2 linked regions of the Drosophila melanogaster genome follow. The gene in region 2 interacts genetically with the main gene of each other region. Each region holds a gene or a part of one and is shown on either strand. Other genes may lie near its edges. The genes, in order: hrg and Nab2.

Region 1 (9,799 bases), on a different chromosome or scaffold from region 2:
AGCACCTATGTATATTATAATCCATTAGATTTTATGGGTACAAGGAGTCGTTGGCTTGCCATTGGCTACAACCGATCTGGAGTCACTTCCAATCGTCTTGGCAGAGGATGTTCCGGTGGAGAGAGCTCCAAGGCAAGTAAAACCAGATCCGTCGACGTTCGATATTTTCAAGGTGGATCAAAGCTCCAATAACCAAATGCAGCAGAAATCCGACGGCTTCAGAGTGTTCGCAAAGAAACTACAGGATGATTATCACCGTAGAGCTGGCTACAATGAAACTAATCCGCCACCAATTACTGTGACCCGAGGAAGCACTACTGCTCCTAAGAAAATCCATAAAAGTGGCATTCGACTATTTGCTTCTCCACAAGATCCACCTCCGCCTGAAGCTGCGGCGCCAGCTGATGGAGCTCCAGCGGCGGCAGGAGCGGCTGAAGGAGGTGCCGCCGGAGGAAAAGGAACTGAACCACCCAAAGAGCTGACCGTCAGTATTCAACAATTCGTTACAAACCAATATGGGGAGAAGGAATACAATGCTTGGGGCGTCACTTTTGGTAGACATTTCTTCGACACCCGTTTCGCCGTAGCTAGGCATGAAATACCTCGAATAACTGTGGATCCGAAACCGGTCCGTAATTACTATCCAAAAATGGACAATCTGACCACCGTCTGCTTGAACAGATCGACCATCTACAATGAGATTAAAGTCGAAAAGTGGCTGATGCGCCACGTCTACAGCATAAAGAAGAAAGTGCGCCCCTTCTTTTTCTCCCTTCGCCAGCAGCTCTACGAGAAAGGGGATTCGGAGCAGTGCCACAATGAGTCCTACACTGACTGGTTGGAGTACCAGGAGTGCGCCATTAGACGCAACCAGCGCATGGAGTACTTTATCCCCAAGTATCCGCTACACCAACTTGCCATTAACTAAAGGCAACCACATCTTGGACTCACTCAACCTGTTTAAATTTCAGTTAGACATTGATCATGATCAGTCTTCGTACGAGAAAATTGATGGGACAAGGAATGATTATCATATTTGTGATTCCTCTTCATTTAAATGTAAATTCAAAAATTTTCTTGATTTATGCTTGCAGAAATAAATATATTTTATTTTCTTAATTTAAGCTTCTTCGGAACAAACTACTCATCCTTTATTCGTCATTAGCAAAATAGTACATTTTTCTATAGCAATTTAATTATATCCAATAGTTCCCAACATTTTCAGTGCAAATATTTTGTATTCCAAATATATTATCCATCACACATCTCCAATAAATAATTAAAACATTGATACATTGGTGTTTTAGCTTGCGCTTTCATTTTTCTGGTTTATTTGGTAAAATTAAATCAATATCTTCATTTCATTTATATGTTTTTGTTATTACCTTTTTTCAGATATCATTTCTTAGAAAAACGAACATAATTGTTTCAAATTTTCAGCGTTGTACAACTAGAAGAAGAAGAAAACAAATATTGAAAACAAGATGAAAAATTAAAAAGAATCTTCTTAGTTTGTAAATAGTTTTCAAAGCGAATCTTCTCCAGGATCTTGTCAGTCCGCTGCTGTCAATCATCCATTCATCCATCCATCTTTATCCACATCCTCCTCTCCACACTTCTCTCTTCTACGCACTCCTCAAACCAGCTGTGGGGAAGTAAAAAAGATGTACAACAATATTATTAAGACAAATGTTAGAGAAATGCTTTCTCTGCCGCTAAAAATCGCCTCAAGTCATGATGTTTTCTTGTCTTAACGGCGATTGTTGATCTCCGAATGCCAATTTCGATTTGACGATAGGGCGATGTTAATTGGTTGAACGAATAATGTTTAACACATGTTTGTAGAAGGTGTATGATAGAAACCTGAAATGAATGGAAAACCGAATTATAAACTTCAGTGGCCATTAATTCAAAATTAGTCTCACCGTTTTGTATAAAATATTGTGGGCTTCATGTATGTTCAGGCATCAATGCCGAGGAAATCAATAGGGAGATAATAACTATGATAACTAATCCTTAAATGGTATGTTTAATAACTTTTTACACTGCAAAGACAATAAAAAGGATAAAAACGGTTATTGGAATATATGTATGTTTTATATATATGTTTTAATTACAATACTTCAACAAGAATATGCAAACAAAACATTCGTAATTTTCGGTGTGGTAAAAAGTTTGAGTTTATTGTACAACCAAAGTGGAAACAATTAAAATCAAATTAACAGCAAAAAATCTTTTTAACAATACCTTCATCTTTTACTTAATTTCCAGATGAGACGTGTGTTATTATCGTAGTAAAATCCCACAGAACCGAAATATCTGTGCTACTATATAAAACAGTTTCCTTAGCTTGTCCCTTATAAAACCCAATACAAACATTAACAAATGCTTTTTAAGGGCCATGAATTCATTAAAACTGACGAAAGCTAGACAGCCAAACAAAAAATAAAACCCGAAATATAAACAAAATAAAATGTAAATGTTTTACACTTATTTCTTTTTAGAAATTGTTTCTTGAATATTGAACAAAGCAAGGTTTGTTTCTCGCATTTTGTTTTGCAGATTCCTATAGCCTAAAATGTTTGACCAAACGAATTTCACTGTAAACAATTTGGAAAATAAAAATACGAAAAATGTTCAGTGTTTTTTCTTTTTTAAAAAGTTTATTTTCATCATCGTTTATTGAGCTTAGTCTCGGGCTAGGTAAATTGAATTTTTAAAACTTAAAAAATTAGAGGTATGTTTTTGTTAGATTGTTTCCACATTGGCGGAATACTGGTTATAGAATACGTAAAAGTAAGTAGATAGGCAACTTAAGAGTACAGAAACAGTCTCGTGTCAAAGGAAGTTGGGGAAAATGAAAAGAGAGTACGATAACGAGGAAAAACATTTAGGCAACTTACAAGAAATTGTCGGTGCCGGTGGTGCGGCACTCGCAGCTACCGGAACCGATGTTGCTGGTGACGCCGATGTAGCTGTTATTCTGACCGCTTTTTGTTGCTGTTGTGTTTGGTTGTTAGGTGTCAAAAGTGGTTGATTGTTGTCCTCGTCATCATCATCAATGTAGTACGTTTTGTTGTAGTGGCTGCCGCCGCCACCGCCGTTGTTGTTGTGAGTGCTATGCTGGGTGTAGTTGCTGTGAGCAATGTTGCTGCTGCTGATCATGGTTGTTGATGTTGCCGTTTGCTGCTTGCGCTTATGTCCGGTAATGCTTAGAGCAGCCGATAGACTGGAAGCGGCATGCAGAATCGAGCGTTGGTTGAAAATGCTGTTGGAGGCGGCTGCCGCAGCCGCGTTGTTGTTCTTTCGGAACTTCTGATGATGATGATGGTGAGCTGGTGGCTGTGGCGGCGCTGGCGGTGGCTGCTGATGTGGCGGATGCGGATGTAGCGTTGGCGGTTGTCACGAACATGCCACCTCCGTTGTGGTTGTGTTGCTGCTGGCATTGCCATTGTTGTGAGGCTGTGTCGGTTCCTGCTCTACAACGTCTATCTCGGAGCCGTTCTTGCCAGAGCTCTTAAAGCTTGGCGCACTTAATTGCGCCGTTGTGGGCGTGGTGGGCGTCCCTGCCCCCATATCGCTGGAGGCATTCGAGTTCTCCTCTGTCAGCTAGACATACAAAGTTTCGACTAATTAATACGTTCTAAATTGATATCTTTTTTATACCACTAACCGAATCGCTGAGTCTTTGTATCTTGGCTCCGCTATCCCGACCGCGATTTCCACTTGATGGCTGCTGGCCTGGGGGCAGTGGATCCTGCGATTGGGCCAGTTCCGTAGAAAGTCGTTTGCGGTTAGCCAATAGCGTGTTATTAAAATTATTGTGACTTTCCATTGACTTGCGCTCACGTTTTAGGAAGTCAGAGTCTAAATAAAGCGACAGCTGCTTGCGCTTTACATGGCGGGCATCAATGGTCATGCCTTCCTTAAGCATTTTGATGTTAACCTGCAAGATTAAAAAAGTAATAAGCAACTGAATAAACATTATTTTCGATTTTTTACTTACGCCGTGCATCATCACATGCTCTGTAAAGTTTTGTATGCTCTCGGTGAGGTCCACGTTAAGGTTCTCCGATCGCTCGAATTCCAAGCCTATAAACCACATGGAGCAGAAGGGTGCCGATGTCACAGCAGACTGGTTTCCCTGCGACTGCTTCAGATCGTCTTCATTTCCACTGTTGTTTTGTGAGTTGTTGGCACTTTGGCCCTTCTTAAACTCAAAACACTTGGGATTGACATGGGCCAGTGCAATATGGGGATTTCGCTCCAAGTTGCCAATTAGCAGACGCACCTTTGACTCAACAAGGCCGCACCACTCTAAATGATCGTCAGCCGTCTGCGAGTTGACTAACAACACGATAAAGTGGCGGTATCTGTAAAAAAAGCTAGGTGCCTCAAACAAACGCTCCCACGGAATGCGACCGAGCATGATTTCATCCGTGATGTTCATGCCGCGATTGAACTCGGTCAATATGACCTTCTTGGTGGATTCGGACACATTAAATGTGGAATTCTGTTGTGGGTATGCGGGCGTAATAATGGGCATCAGATGATACCGATCCGAGGCATTGACACGCGGATCCCAGACCTAGAATAGGAAAATCTATTAGAGAACCGGACTATTTGGATAAGTTTTTATGACTTACTTGAAATCTTAGATTAACGTTGTCCGGGTGCTTGAGTAGCACTGGGTTAGGCCACTTCCAGCGCGAAAAGACCAAGAAAAACTTGTGCACCAGTGTGGCAGCCGCAGCGTTGGGATACAGCTGACAGGTTCTGGCCACTAACATGGCCCAGGTCACACCACCGAAATAACCCAATGAATTTGAGTAGATTCCGTGCTCTAAGAGAGAAAATGAGAACAATTAGAATTTAATTTATAAGAATTTTATATAATAACACGTACTCTTTGCCCACAATTTGATAGTGCGCAGTGCCAGGCGGAAATTTTCAATATTGGGCACCAGGGCCAGGATCTCGTCCGTCACACGACAGCCGTTGAGGCTGCGCACCGAACGGTGATCCAGATTCCGCAGTAAGTTATCATCCCGTAGATCAAAGTCATCAGGAATTTCTTTTAGGGACAGACGGGCAAACAGCAAATCAATTTCGATGCCATCAAAGTTCATTTTGATGACGGGCACAAAGGCCTCTTCCACCGAGCGGCACTCGGTTACCTCTGGCTGCTTCTTGAGCACCTCAAAGAAGCTCTGAAAGTAGTCGGTGCGCTCAATATTTCGCGGAGCAACACATAAGGCATCTATATCGGCACCCTTGTGATGGACACCCAATCGATACGAGCCGAATGTGTAGATCTTGCCGCCAAGCTTCTCGGCGGCTGACTCTGGCATGTTCTTGCTGACAGAGATTTCCTTGACCCACTGCTTGACCAGTGTGTTGAGCTTGGCCAGGATCTCCATACGGTGATTTAGCTCGTCCTGGCTCTCAAAGACGTTGTACGGCTCCAGTGAGCCGCGGAGCTCATCAGTGCGCTGGAGATCCTCAGGCCGTGGCTCGGCCAGACTGATAGCCGAGGTCATGCCCAATTGCTTGGCGGGCGGTCCGCCCGAGGTAGAATTTCCATTGTGCTGATGGTGCTGGCGATGTGTTGGTTCGGAATTCCACATGTTGTCTGTCTGCCTTCGTTTCAGCTTAAAGTTATGTCCTGAAAATTGAAATTTTAAACGGTTATTATCTGATCCTTTCGGAATCGCTATATTCGATTTACTCACCTATCTAGGCTTAAAATGTATGTGGTATTATATTTAAGTTTGCTCTCCAAGAAGACAAAATGGAATCATATATATGCGACACCTCCTCTTGTGGCTCTGTTTAAGAAACTGCGCTTAATAAAATGCTGGAAAAGAAAATAATACATTTAGTATGACATCTAAAGCATTACTCTAAGGTTTGGTTTTAAAATTCTTAAGGAAGAGCGGATCGTATTGAAATTGAATAGGTTTGTTCGGACTATGATAATCTCATAAGGATTGCGAAATATTAGGGTTTCTTAAAGTGAGAATTATTGTACGGCGTTTCCAAACTGATGACGACGCGGTTTTTTAAAAAGTGAATCACCTAATATTTGAACTAAATATTTGTGGGATACACATTCATCACGTGATAAGGGCTACATATATACAACAGTTACTACTAAATTGAAATTACCCTTTTCTTCCTGTGTAGCAAAACAGTTAATTGACAATTACAATTTACTTTCGCGCTGAGTAAATGCAAATTGTAATGTGCGATAAGATATTTCTGATAGCGCCGTTATATACAAAAAACATAACAATGAATTTCGCAAAGCAGCTGGGCACACTGGTTCACTGGATAGCCTTTCGGGCATATAAACAAATGCGTAAAAGAAATTGGCAAATAAATTAGCGGTTGGAGTGGGTTGCCGTAGCTGTTGCTTGTAGCAGAATAATTGTGACAATGACAAACATAAACAAAGAAAGCGAATATTTATGCGCCTGCACCACCCCCCTCTCACCAACGACAATCCTCCCACACAGGTAAACGGTGCTCTCACGCACGCACTCACGCACACCCACACAAACAGGCACGCGCCGTATACATACACACACGAGGGGAAAAGTTTTCTCTGCTTGTTTTTGCTTACCTGCGCTTATTCTTCAGATTCTTGGCCTGTTTTTGTTGTTCCCGTGCCGCCGCTTCAAACAATATCTGAAGGTGTGTGTGTGTGTGGCGTGTCGTGCTGTTTGTCCGCTGCATTCGTGAGTGGTGCATATGTATGTATGTATGTTTGTTTGTTAGAACTTTTGGCAGGAGAGTGTATCCCATTCATGTGCTGTTGTCGCTCCGGCTTTTACTCTTTTCGCACGTTCGTCTTCCTCGCTTTTTTGCCGCACTCTTCACATTTCTTTTTTCGTTTCTTTTTCCGTTCCCGTTCCACCACCTTCCACTGCTGCTTAACGGACAGAAACTCTCGCGTTTTATGCTACGTGACGCACACGCACACACCGATATACAAATGCCAGTAGTCGACTTGCCAAAACGCAAACACAAACGCTTTCCGCCCACTTTTGTTTCGTTTCGGAGGTGACGGGGGCACACTGATAACACGACGGGATCGACGCTGTGGCGTTTAGTGGGCGGCAAACATATTTTACTAACTTTTAAGCCCCTGCGCGTTCTAGCAATAATTAAAATGTGTGGCAATCGATTGGATGCTTGTGGCAATCGTTATCGTTTCTTGCGGCGCATAGAGATGAGCCAATGGGAGTAGCTAGGGATGGGAAGATTTCCATGCTCTCTGCTTACGTATGCCTATTGTGAATGGACATTTTTAGTGAGAATTTTTAAATGATTTTTAGCAAATTGGTTTTAAATATAATGTGTATGAGCACCATTTTATTTCATTATCAAGCAGATTCGTTTCGCAAGTAATAAAAGTGAGAGTCATCTGCAAGCGATACCGCCTTAAGTAAAATAAGCTGAGGGCATAGGATTTACTATTGGTTCTTTTACAGTTGGGACCTAATCTGGCCATCTGCTTATTTGAAATCTGCGACAGATGTCACTTTTTGCACCTTTGGTGTAGGTAAATTCAAAACCCAATTTTCTTACCTGAAATTTGAAAACCCATTTCAAACTGGGATTTCAAGTATGTTTGGGTTTTATATGACGGGTCTAACCAGGTACCAATTTACCATTAAGACACTTAGATTGTATTACTAATAGTTTTTGGAAAATGAATTCTTTAATTCTATTACTATATTCGGGTAACTACTATTTATTGCAGTAAAGTAACAAAAGTATTTAACCCCAATGTTTTCCTGTTATTGTTATTGGCTAACGATAAGGAATAACATAGTTTTCTTCATATATGTACATATCACGATATATTTATAAAGTTCAGCCACATAACATATTTTAAAATAGTTTTTCATGTCAAAATAGCCGTTATAAAGATTAGGGGTATTCCCCATGGATATGGCCTATCTGGCAGCACCATCAAACAGCTGCTTGCTATCGACTTTACAAAAATAAAAATCGTTTTTTTTTTTTTTGCAATAACGCATCGATTCTGTTTACTTGCGAGAAATATGCAAAATAGCCATCGAAAAGTGCCGCAAAATGTAACAAACACCTAGCTGCAGACCCAAGATGATACCCTGGATGCGGGAGAAGTTCAACGAGAAACGGGCCAAGTGGTTGGCGCGTAGCAAGCGCAGCGGTGGTTCTCCGGCTGACGAAAGCCCTCGGAGCAGCAGTCATAGCCACAGCCAGCGGACAGACGCCAGCGATGCGGAGAGCCTGAGCGGATCCTCGTTGAATGTCCACACGGCGGAATCTGAAACGCAGACGGATGGCGGGATATCCGCTTCCAATTCGCGGCCCCTTGTGGGCGGGGGCAGTTGCGTCCTAAGGACTCCATCGCCCGCTCGCCGACGTCGCATTCACCTTGAGCTACAGCTGCAGCGACGAGAGGAACGTGCTGAGCATCAGAAGGTGGTGCCACAGGACTCGCCCACGCCCACTCACCAACAGCAGGCTAATGCGTAAGTTATCAAACCGAACGAATATGCTTATGTTTTTCAAAGTGCTCACCCGAAACAAATATTTGTCTTTCGAAATTCTCCGTTGGTTTGTCACTACCCATCCAACTAAAACAAACTATGCAAAAACTGCGCAGTTTGTTTCTCAGGTTAGTAATGCTTAGGTATTATGCTAATCTTTTAATTAAGTCCATTCTTAACGGAATCCACTTAGGAAATCAGCCCATACAAATCGCCCAGGTAGCTCTACTTCTGGCGAGGCAGACGATGCCAGCAGGCCAGGTGAATCTATCCTGGTGCGGGTAATCTGCCCCAGCTCTCGGGTTCTTATCTTCAAAACGGACGTTAATAAGCGCCTAAACGAGCTGAAGAGTGAGGTGATTCTGGAACTGAGCGACGATCCCGACTCCATCCAGCTATTTGCCCCAGATGTGCGGCATCTTAATCCGCGATACCGTCTCTATCGGGCGGAATACTTCGGCGGCGAGCTTAACGAGGGCGACACGCTGGCCCAGCTAAAAGTTCGCAACAATGAGACTTTCATACTCTCCCCACGACGCAATACTCTGCCGCAGACTGTTTCACGGATACGTGAGGTTCCTGGCCCAAATGAGCAGCTGGTGGAGAGCGCCACCCGATACGTGCCCGTCAATTGCAACCAGCTGCCCACCATCGATATTAATGAAATCTTTCAGCAGTCGAATGTGAGTACAATTCTTGGCTACTCCTTTGATTATTCTAATCCTATTCCGTTTCCAGATCCAATACGATGTGCGAAAGGTGTTGATCTCTTTGGCTCAAGCTTCTGCGGCGGTTATAGGAGCTGGCCCTTATGCTCCACGCCTGATAGCTATGCTAAAGCAACGTTTGATCAATCGCCGAAATCAGCAAGCGGATACGCTGCAATGCCTCGTGGACATGGGCTTCAAGCGGGAGCTAGCCGCATTTGCCTTAAAAGCACACAATGGCATTTACTCGACCACGATGGAGTGGCTAATACAGAACCAAAACGAGGAAAATCCACAGGAACCGCCGGGCATGAATATGCAGCACAGTCTATCTTCCATCTCACCCTCCACGATTGTCACCAATAATGTAAGTAGGAATTAGATTATCGCTTTTTAATGACAACCGTTTTCTTTTAAAGGAAACCATTGAAAACACTGCTGCCTTGATTGAGATTGTACGAATCTACAGCCACCGGGATTCCCCTCCCAGCGATGAGATTGTGGAATCGCTTACAGAAATGGGCTTCGAGGAGACGGCAGTGCTCG
Region 2 (7,811 bases):
AAGCAAATGACCTGCGAGAACGAGCCATGTCGGAATGGATCAACCTGCCAGAATGGATTCAGTAAGTGAAGCCCCATCATTATGATACAATTATTTCTTTCAACGATTATTATTCTTCTCGCCTTGCAGATGCTTCTACTGGCAATAACTTTACATGTACATGCGTGCCCGGCTTCGAGGGTCCACTGTGTGACATACCCTTCTGTGAAATAACGCCTTGCGATAACGGTGGCCTCTGCCTGACCACTGGAGCGGTAAGTGGCCTACAAATGGAATACTCAACTGATCAATTATTCATCGAAACATTCTCTTTAGGTACCGATGTGCAAATGTAGTCTGGGATACACTGGTCGCCTGTGCGAGCAGGACATTAACGAGTGCGAATCGAATCCATGCCAGAACGGTGGTCAGTGTAAGGACCTCGTCGGCAGGTACGAGTGCGATTGCCAGGGCACCGGGTTCGAGGGCATTCGCTGTGAAAATGACATCGACGAGTGCAACATGGAGGGAGATTACTGCGGCGGATTGGGCCGGTGTTTCAACAAGCCCGGATCCTTCCAGTGCATCTGCCAGAAACCCTATTGCGGAGCCTACTGCAACTTTACGGATCCCTGCAACGCTACGGACCTCTGCTCAAACGGCGGTCGCTGCGTAGAGTCCTGCGGCGCCAAACCGGACTACTACTGCGAGTGTCCGGAAGGTTTCGCGGGAAAGAATTGCACAGCACCGGTAAGTTTTCAAATGATACACTACAAATTCAGTGAAAGAAAAACAATATATTGATTTCTTCGCTTTTTTCAGATTACGGCCAAGGAGGACGGGCCTTCGACCACAGACATTGCCATCATTGTAATACCCGTAGTGGTGGTGCTGCTGCTGATCGCGGGAGCCCTCCTGGGCACCTTCCTGGTGATGGCCAGGAACAAGCGAGCAACCAGGGGCACCTATAGCCCGAGCGCGCAAGAGTACTGCAACCCACGGCTGGAAATGGACAACGTACTGAAGCCACCGCCGGAAGAGCGACTAATTTAGTTTTGAGTTTTGAGCATGAACGACGATTAGCAAAGCAAACAAAAGATATTTTTAAATCCGCCCATATACACCTAGCTGTAGGAGTAACTCAATGTTTTGTACTAAGTTGGCCCCTAGTTATGGTTTACATCTTAAGGTGCTCAAAGCAATAGCAGCAGCAGCAGCAGCCAGGCTTCCACCTCGACTCGTCCCTTATCCCCTGCCTACGCTTTAGTTAGTTAATAATGCCGTTGTCTATTTATTCTAGTAGTTTAGATGACATACGTACCGCCCTATAGTCGTTATGTAGTTATGTTCCGATAGTTTAGATTCAGTATTCGATTTCTCGTATATGTAATCCTAAAGCTGCGAACAAAGTTGAGCTCCGACGTCGATTTCCCCTTTGCATTCCACAAGGAAGCCCATCAAATGTATTGTATGAGTATTTTTGTAAATAAGATTGTTTGCCGACTCTTAAACTAAATTAGCTGAGCTAAAATCGAAATTAAAAACAGAAAATCCTATATGCCTATATATACGCGAGTATATATATCAGTAAATGTGGCCTTATAACAAAAAAAAATATAGTAACGAAAAGCAATGACAACTAGAACAGAAAAAGTATTGGTTAAGTAAATCAAATAAAAAACATATTTTGCTCTAGAGTATCTAAGCGTAAACTTAAGAGACTGTACTATATAATAAATATAAAATATTTCGACTTTTTCCAATCAATTGCCTATTCAATTATCCAGTTAAAGACACACGGCAAACTATATATAAAAATCGTTTTCTTTTTTTCATTTGTAGCAACTATTGCTAAATTTATTCGTCAGCTTTACCATGACGTGTATCTTATGGTTTGAATGCAACCAAATTCGCAGGACCAACAAAGTTAAGTTATGTTTATCATGTATGTGAGCGAGCTTCTAATGACTAATACACATGTTTATAATTATAAGCAGTAGGATGAATGCAAATAATAATGAAGATTAAATAGGTAAGGTATACAACTCGGTGTATATAGATAGAAAAAACTCCAAGCTCGCCTAATCATACACTCGAAATAGAGTACATTTGCTAAATATCATTTGAACGAAAGTGCAGTCCACATTAGCCCAAAGATGCCACCCACTTGAATTTGCTCTGCATCTCAGGATGGTAGAAGATGCACTCCAGCTTGTTTACGCAGTTCTTGCCGAAGCGGCAGGGCTTGGGATGATAGAAGGTGCAGCCCAGCTTGGAACAATTCGGATAGTACTTGCACATGGTAGTCGCAGTCGTGGATGTAACAGGAGCCGATATCGACTTGTAGTTCTGCACTGGGATGACGTGAGAGGCTGTAAATTAAAAAAAAAGTTTGTGAGTTTGTAAAATTAAATACAAAGGCTATCAACTTACATAGTGGTGGAGCAGCAAGCTGGACATGGCTTAGATCCCTTTGACCGCCATGGGCGTAGTTGCAGTCTATGCTCATGCAGGCCATGTCGAATTTGCACTTCGGATGCGAGTACATGCACTTGTCCGCGAATTTGCAGTTGGGGAAAGACTTGCACGGCGCCGTTGGATGATAGTACTCACAGAACTGCTTTGTGCAGTTTGGATGATATTTGCAGCGCTCCTTGGGTTTGTTCACCTTCAGCACGGTGGAATCCACGCTAACTGCGCTCACTAATTGGGGCAAGATATTAAGTAATTGTTCAAATTTGTTAAAATTGAAAGAATACACTTACACGCCGGCAAGTTGTCGTATTTCCTGTCCTCCGGATTGCGTATGGATACCCTGCGTCTCTCCGGAGCCGCGACATCACGATCGGGGCTGCCAGAACGACGCTTCTTACTCGCACTCGGCTCGTCCTCACTTTTAAGAGTGAAGCGAATGGGCGTGTGCTTGGCTTTGGTAGTTGTCGAAACGGAAGTGGACGCACTGACAGATTTGGCGGCCGATGACGTCTCCGCTGAATTAGATCTTACGGATTTCTCCTTGCTGGAAGCTTTCTTCTCCGCCCGCGCCTTTGGTTTGGCTGGCAGCGGTGGAGTTGTTGAGCCTTCCTCGATTTTACCCTTATCCTTATTGTCCTTGTGACCATTGGCCGCCGCTGGCTGGCGCTTGTTTGGTGATCGTTTCTTCGGTGACCCGTGCATTTCATCATCTTCATCGGTGTCATTTTTTATGATGATCTTCTTGATTTCCTGAGGCTGACGGCGTACCTCGTTGCGATTGATGCTGCGTGTTGTCGGCAGGGAGGGTGACCCACTGCTCTGTCTCGGCGATGGCGAGAAGCTTCTATCCCGATTGGATCGGCGTCGCTTGTCAACCGTCGTAGATGTGGGCTCAATATTAGAGGAGGACACTTGTGGCGTGGATACGGGTGAGGTGGATCGTTTACGAGAGTTGCTCGGCCGCTTGCGAGAGGCCCCTCCCTTGACATTCTTACCTCCGAGAGCTTTGTCGCCGTTTAACGTGACCACAAACTGAGTCTTGAGGGCTCCGGAATTGGGACTTGGCTCGTCGTGGGAGCTGATGTGCAAATCCAATTCATCCACGTTGGTCAGCAATTGCGGCACATACGTCTCGACGCCCTCAGTCATTAGGCTTGGCGTATATTCTTCCTCCACCACTTTGATCTCGGCGCGACGCTCGTTGGACCGCCGTTCACGCTTTCCATCCCTTTGTGTCACATTTACCACTAATTCCCGAGTGGTGCGCCGGAAGAGTTCGTTGCCTTGTGCACTTCTCTTTCTTCGTTTCCTCTCGCGATTCCGTTTACGAATCTGATCATTCTTATCCTCCGACTTGCGCTTGCCTAGAGAACTTATGATCTTGCCCACATCCTCGTCCTCCTTCTGTGTCGAAGTCTTGGCGAGGATTGTGGAACGCTGCGCGTCCGCCACTGCTCGCAGCAGGAGGTTCTTGCAGGCCTGTCGTCTGGGAGAAACATTTGGTCTTGGCTTGACCTTAATAACGGAGTTGACTGGCTTTTCGGCCATATCCTCATCGTCCGACGGCTCCGGTGGCTTGTTAACGGCCACAATAACTTGGGAGACAATGCGTTGCTTTGTACTTGGAGCCTCCGGACTAGGCGAACGACGCTGGCGCTGATTACGGTTAGTGTCCCTAGAGGTATCGCGGCTGGAGCGTCGTTCTCGGGTGCGCTCTCTTTGACTGCGCTCTTTGGTGGCCTCGGGTTCGCTCCGTCGCCGATGGGTCGGCACATAGAGCTCCTTTTGGTTGCGCTGCGAACGATCTGCCGGCGTTTGGGCCTTTGAACCGAGACGGTCATGCACCGATCGCCTTTCAGACCGGTCTTCCTTGGCCTTGTCAGCCGAAGAATCTTTTTTGGGGCTCTTCTCCTCCGCCTCCTCCTGGCGGGAATCGATCTCCGGTTCAGCCTCTGGACGCTTTTCGGGTGTCTTCTCGCGTCTGTTAAAAATAATGGGGCTCTTAGCTTTTCGTGGTGGAGCCTCCAATTTCGGGGGATCCTCTTCTGGCTCCTGGTCTACAGACTCCTCCCTCGCGCTCAAGTTCAACAGATCCTCATCATATTCATCGCTTTCATCCCCGATCTCGCCAATCTGGCGTAAATGCTTCTTGGCTGCATGAATTTTCTTTTGGATTTCGGCCAGCTCAGCGAGGTCTTTTTGCCGGTTAACACCGATAGTAGTTGAGATGATCTCAGACACAGCGGGCACATCCAGCGCCCTATTGGCCGATGCATCCTCATCCTCGATGGACTTGCGATTTTTCTTTTTGTGCAGGATCTCGTCTTTGGCACTGAGATCAATGTCCATGGTTTTCTTTGCCTTCTCGAGAAGCTCTTCGGCAAAAACATCCGTGATGGAACTGACAATTGGCATGGCATCTGAGGAACTTGGCTGTGGTTCCGACAGCTCATCTCCGGACTTTCGGTGCGGTCGCTTATCCTTCTTGGATCCTTTTTTGTCCTTCTCCTGACCGCGAGACTTGCGCTTCTTGCTGGAAGCTGAAAAAATTGGAGTTAGTGGGTGCTTAAGTATGATGAGCATATCCATCATACCACTGGATGTGGGGAGTGTGACCTCTTGGAGCTTTTGCAGCACTTCGTGCAGCCAGGTGACAAAGAGGTCAGTTTGATCGCCTAGGAATAGATTCAGCTCGGCGTTCATCTGCTGTTTGGTGCGCTTGTTGGCCACCATGACCATGACGTAGTCCGGCAATTCATCGTCTATAAAACCGGCCGATCCTCCGGTTCCCAGCTCCAGCAGCTTTGCCTTTACGGCGCTCTATTAATGAAGTGCAAAAATATATATAGTATTGGAGTATCCAATCCGAGCGGTATCCATAACGAGTTCATTGATTTTTTTCCAATGACTTACGCGCATCTTCTGACCAATCTCGCTGCCCAGATTGCACTCCATGTTTGCTGGTTTATCTATCGCCTTTTTCGCTGTTTATTCGCCGCGAGCATTTATTATTTACGCTTACTTTGTGGCTACACTCCACTTTTTGTTACATTAGAAAATGGCAAAACCTCCCAAAAAAAAAAAATATCGCAGCTGCTCCGATATTCATAACTAGTGGTGTGCGTTTGACATTAAGGGTATTCACGTTTAATTCACACGTTTTATAATGTATATATCGATTTTCTATAAACATAGCTTTAAAATAATAAATAGTTACAGAAATTTCATTTGAAATTAAAATGGCAAATTAAAAACTTCTGAAATTTAAAAATGCTCCTGGCCATGGCCATGAACTGAAGTGCAACATAACTTCAAAATAATCAACACCAATGGGACAATTTAAAAATATAAAAAGATTTCACTTGTTATTCATTAAATCATAAGTCTAGTTATCAAGAATTTGTGTAGTAGCTATTAAATTACATTCGAAAATTAAAAGCGAATAATTGCAAACAGTTTATTTAATCACATAGCTAAATATAAATTTCATAATAAGCTTAAATTCCAAACCAATGGCTACGAATATGTTTGACTGAGAATTAAAATTCTCAATTTGAAGTAAATATCTTAGATTGTAGAATCCTGCGAAGCATTTCAGTGCATCATCTCAAATTCAAATACGAAAATTGGCTCCTTCGGCTAAGACTCGATACCCATCTTGTGAGCCCCGCCACCAACTATCGATACGCAAAGGCATTTCATTCGGTGGGAATGGCAATCGAGTGTCACACGGGAAGAAGAAGCTGCGAAAAGAATTTTAGAAGAAAGCAACTGCAATTTTGTCATAATCGGAGCTGCAATTCGCAATGAATAATGGAAACTAGACAACCCAGTTCCGGTGATGATCTAAAGCCAGGTGCGTACCGCCCGGTGGCGCAGCGAGTGCGTCCAACGGGGCTACCAAAGGCAGCCCCTTTGACTTTGTGAAATGTGTGTCTGTGTTTCGCTCGCCCTTCGAATCGAATGGCTGCGTTTTTTCGACTGCGTTTCGCCAAGCGAAATTCACGGGCCCCTTTGGCCAGATATATCTGGAATATTGACGACTCCCAGCGAGCGCATTTTCGACAACTTGTTGCACTAAAACCCGTGAAATCCTCTATCTTGCAGAGCTGTACTTCCTCATTTCCAAGTTCCTGGCCGCGGGACCGCTGGAGGAGACGGCGAAGGTGGGTTGAAAGCAGCGCTCGCGCGAGATCGCATTGGAATCGTATTTCGCGCTAAAAGAGCGGAATTTCGTTTTGTTTACAAACATTTACATTAATTCTGAAACTAAATTCTATCCAACTGTAGGTCTTGATCCGGGAACTCGAAGAGAAGAAGGTGAGTTTTGTTGGTGCTGCAGCTGTGTTTTTGGCACAGATATTTCGGACTCGAATTGAGAGGGGGGCCAAAAAAAAAATAGAAAACCGCGTTTGTTTATACGCTTTGTTTTGGTTTTGTTGTTGTTTCTGCTGCCGGCAGCGAACGACGAAAAACCCACTTGTACGTCCGCTTGTCTCAGAGTTGGGAATCAGACTGAATTGTGGATTTGCTGGGGCCACGTGAATATATAGTCCATTAAAAAAAGAAGAGAAAAACATGAAAAAAGAAATGGAATCATAGGGATGCCCCCGCGACGTCATCGTCGACGTCACGGAGTGCAAGTGATAAGAGTCATACATGCATGCATATATATTTACACCCGTCTATATATACGTACACCTTTCGATTCCCAGGTTTTGCCGCGTCGTCTCGATTGGCAGGGAAACGAGCATGAGCAGACCTTTGAGGAATTGGTGAGTGTTTTCATAATTAATCAATTAGCTTTTCAAAGTTATCGTTTAATGCCTTTTGATCGGCATTTAAGTCTTGCGTAAGTGTGCGTCTGCTGCGGCATTTTCCGTCTCAGTCGTTCGCTCGCCTTTGTGACGTCATCGTGTCAGGGAATAGAGAAAAAGTTGCACATCAAAATTCAAGTTGTTAATTTAAAAAACATTACAACTAAAGACATCAATCATTCTGACTGTTAAATTAACAAATAAGTAAGCAACTATTTAATTAAAAAGGCAGCAAAAAATTGCAAAAATTCGTAAAAGACTAAAGTGGAAAGCAAAAATTCTAAAACCCTCGTAAAAATTGTAAATTTTGAAAAATCTTAATTTTTTAAACAAATGCTTTGTAATTTAGTTTTAACAATTAGCTGCAACCAGCCGACATTTTGGTTTCTCACACATACACATGCCCATGCGCACAGACACATGCAAGCAACCACCACTTTGCCTTGACTTGTGCGCGAGGGAACGAGACAAGCATACGTTGTTGAAGCTATCGCACCGTTTATCGCCCAATCGATAGGAATACGTTAAATTTTGATTTTG

The links.
Region 1: of Nab2 (region 2) and hrg, changing one enhances a phenotype caused by changing the other (phenotypic enhancement), as found in Drosophila melanogaster (one study listed by BioGRID).

What each region holds. Positions count from the first base shown.
Region 1 is NT_033778.4:19,662,622-19,672,420, forward strand, and holds hrg (hiiragi), read right to left. Parts: upstream 7,212-9,799; 5' UTR 6,626-7,211; exon of another isoform or gene 6,497-6,625; intron 6,448-6,496; exon of another isoform or gene 6,169-6,447; intron 5,858-6,168; 5' UTR 5,733-5,857; intron 5,666-5,732; 5' UTR 5,628-5,665; coding exon 4,907-5,627; intron 4,844-4,906; coding exon 4,647-4,843; intron 4,589-4,646; coding exon 4,007-4,588; intron 3,947-4,006; coding exon 3,674-3,946; intron 3,610-3,673; coding exon 3,403-3,609; coding exon of another isoform or gene 2,904-3,402; exon of another isoform or gene 2,639-2,903; intron 2,046-2,638; coding exon of another isoform or gene 2,041-2,045; 3' UTR 1,926-2,040; intron 1,864-1,925; 3' UTR 1,298-1,863; downstream 1-1,297. Other genes in the region: CG11018 (uncharacterized protein), read left to right, coding at 29-928; Kpc2 (Kip1 ubiquitination-promoting complex subunit 2), read left to right, coding at 8,134-8,528, 8,663-8,674, 8,740-9,229, 9,285-9,620, 9,673-9,799.
Region 2 is NT_033777.3:24,312,848-24,320,658, forward strand, and holds Nab2 (nuclear polyadenosine RNA-binding 2), read right to left. Parts: upstream 5,573-7,811; 5' UTR 5,410-5,572; coding exon 5,368-5,409; intron 5,275-5,367; coding exon 5,049-5,274; intron 4,995-5,048; coding exon 2,745-4,994; intron 2,683-2,744; coding exon 2,413-2,682; intron 2,352-2,412; coding exon 2,125-2,351; 3' UTR 1,813-2,124; downstream 1-1,812. Other genes in the region: crb (crumbs), read left to right, coding at 1-61, 130-254, 316-729, 802-1,032; BRWD3, read left to right, coding at 6,268-6,310, 6,562-6,620, 6,745-6,774, 7,170-7,229.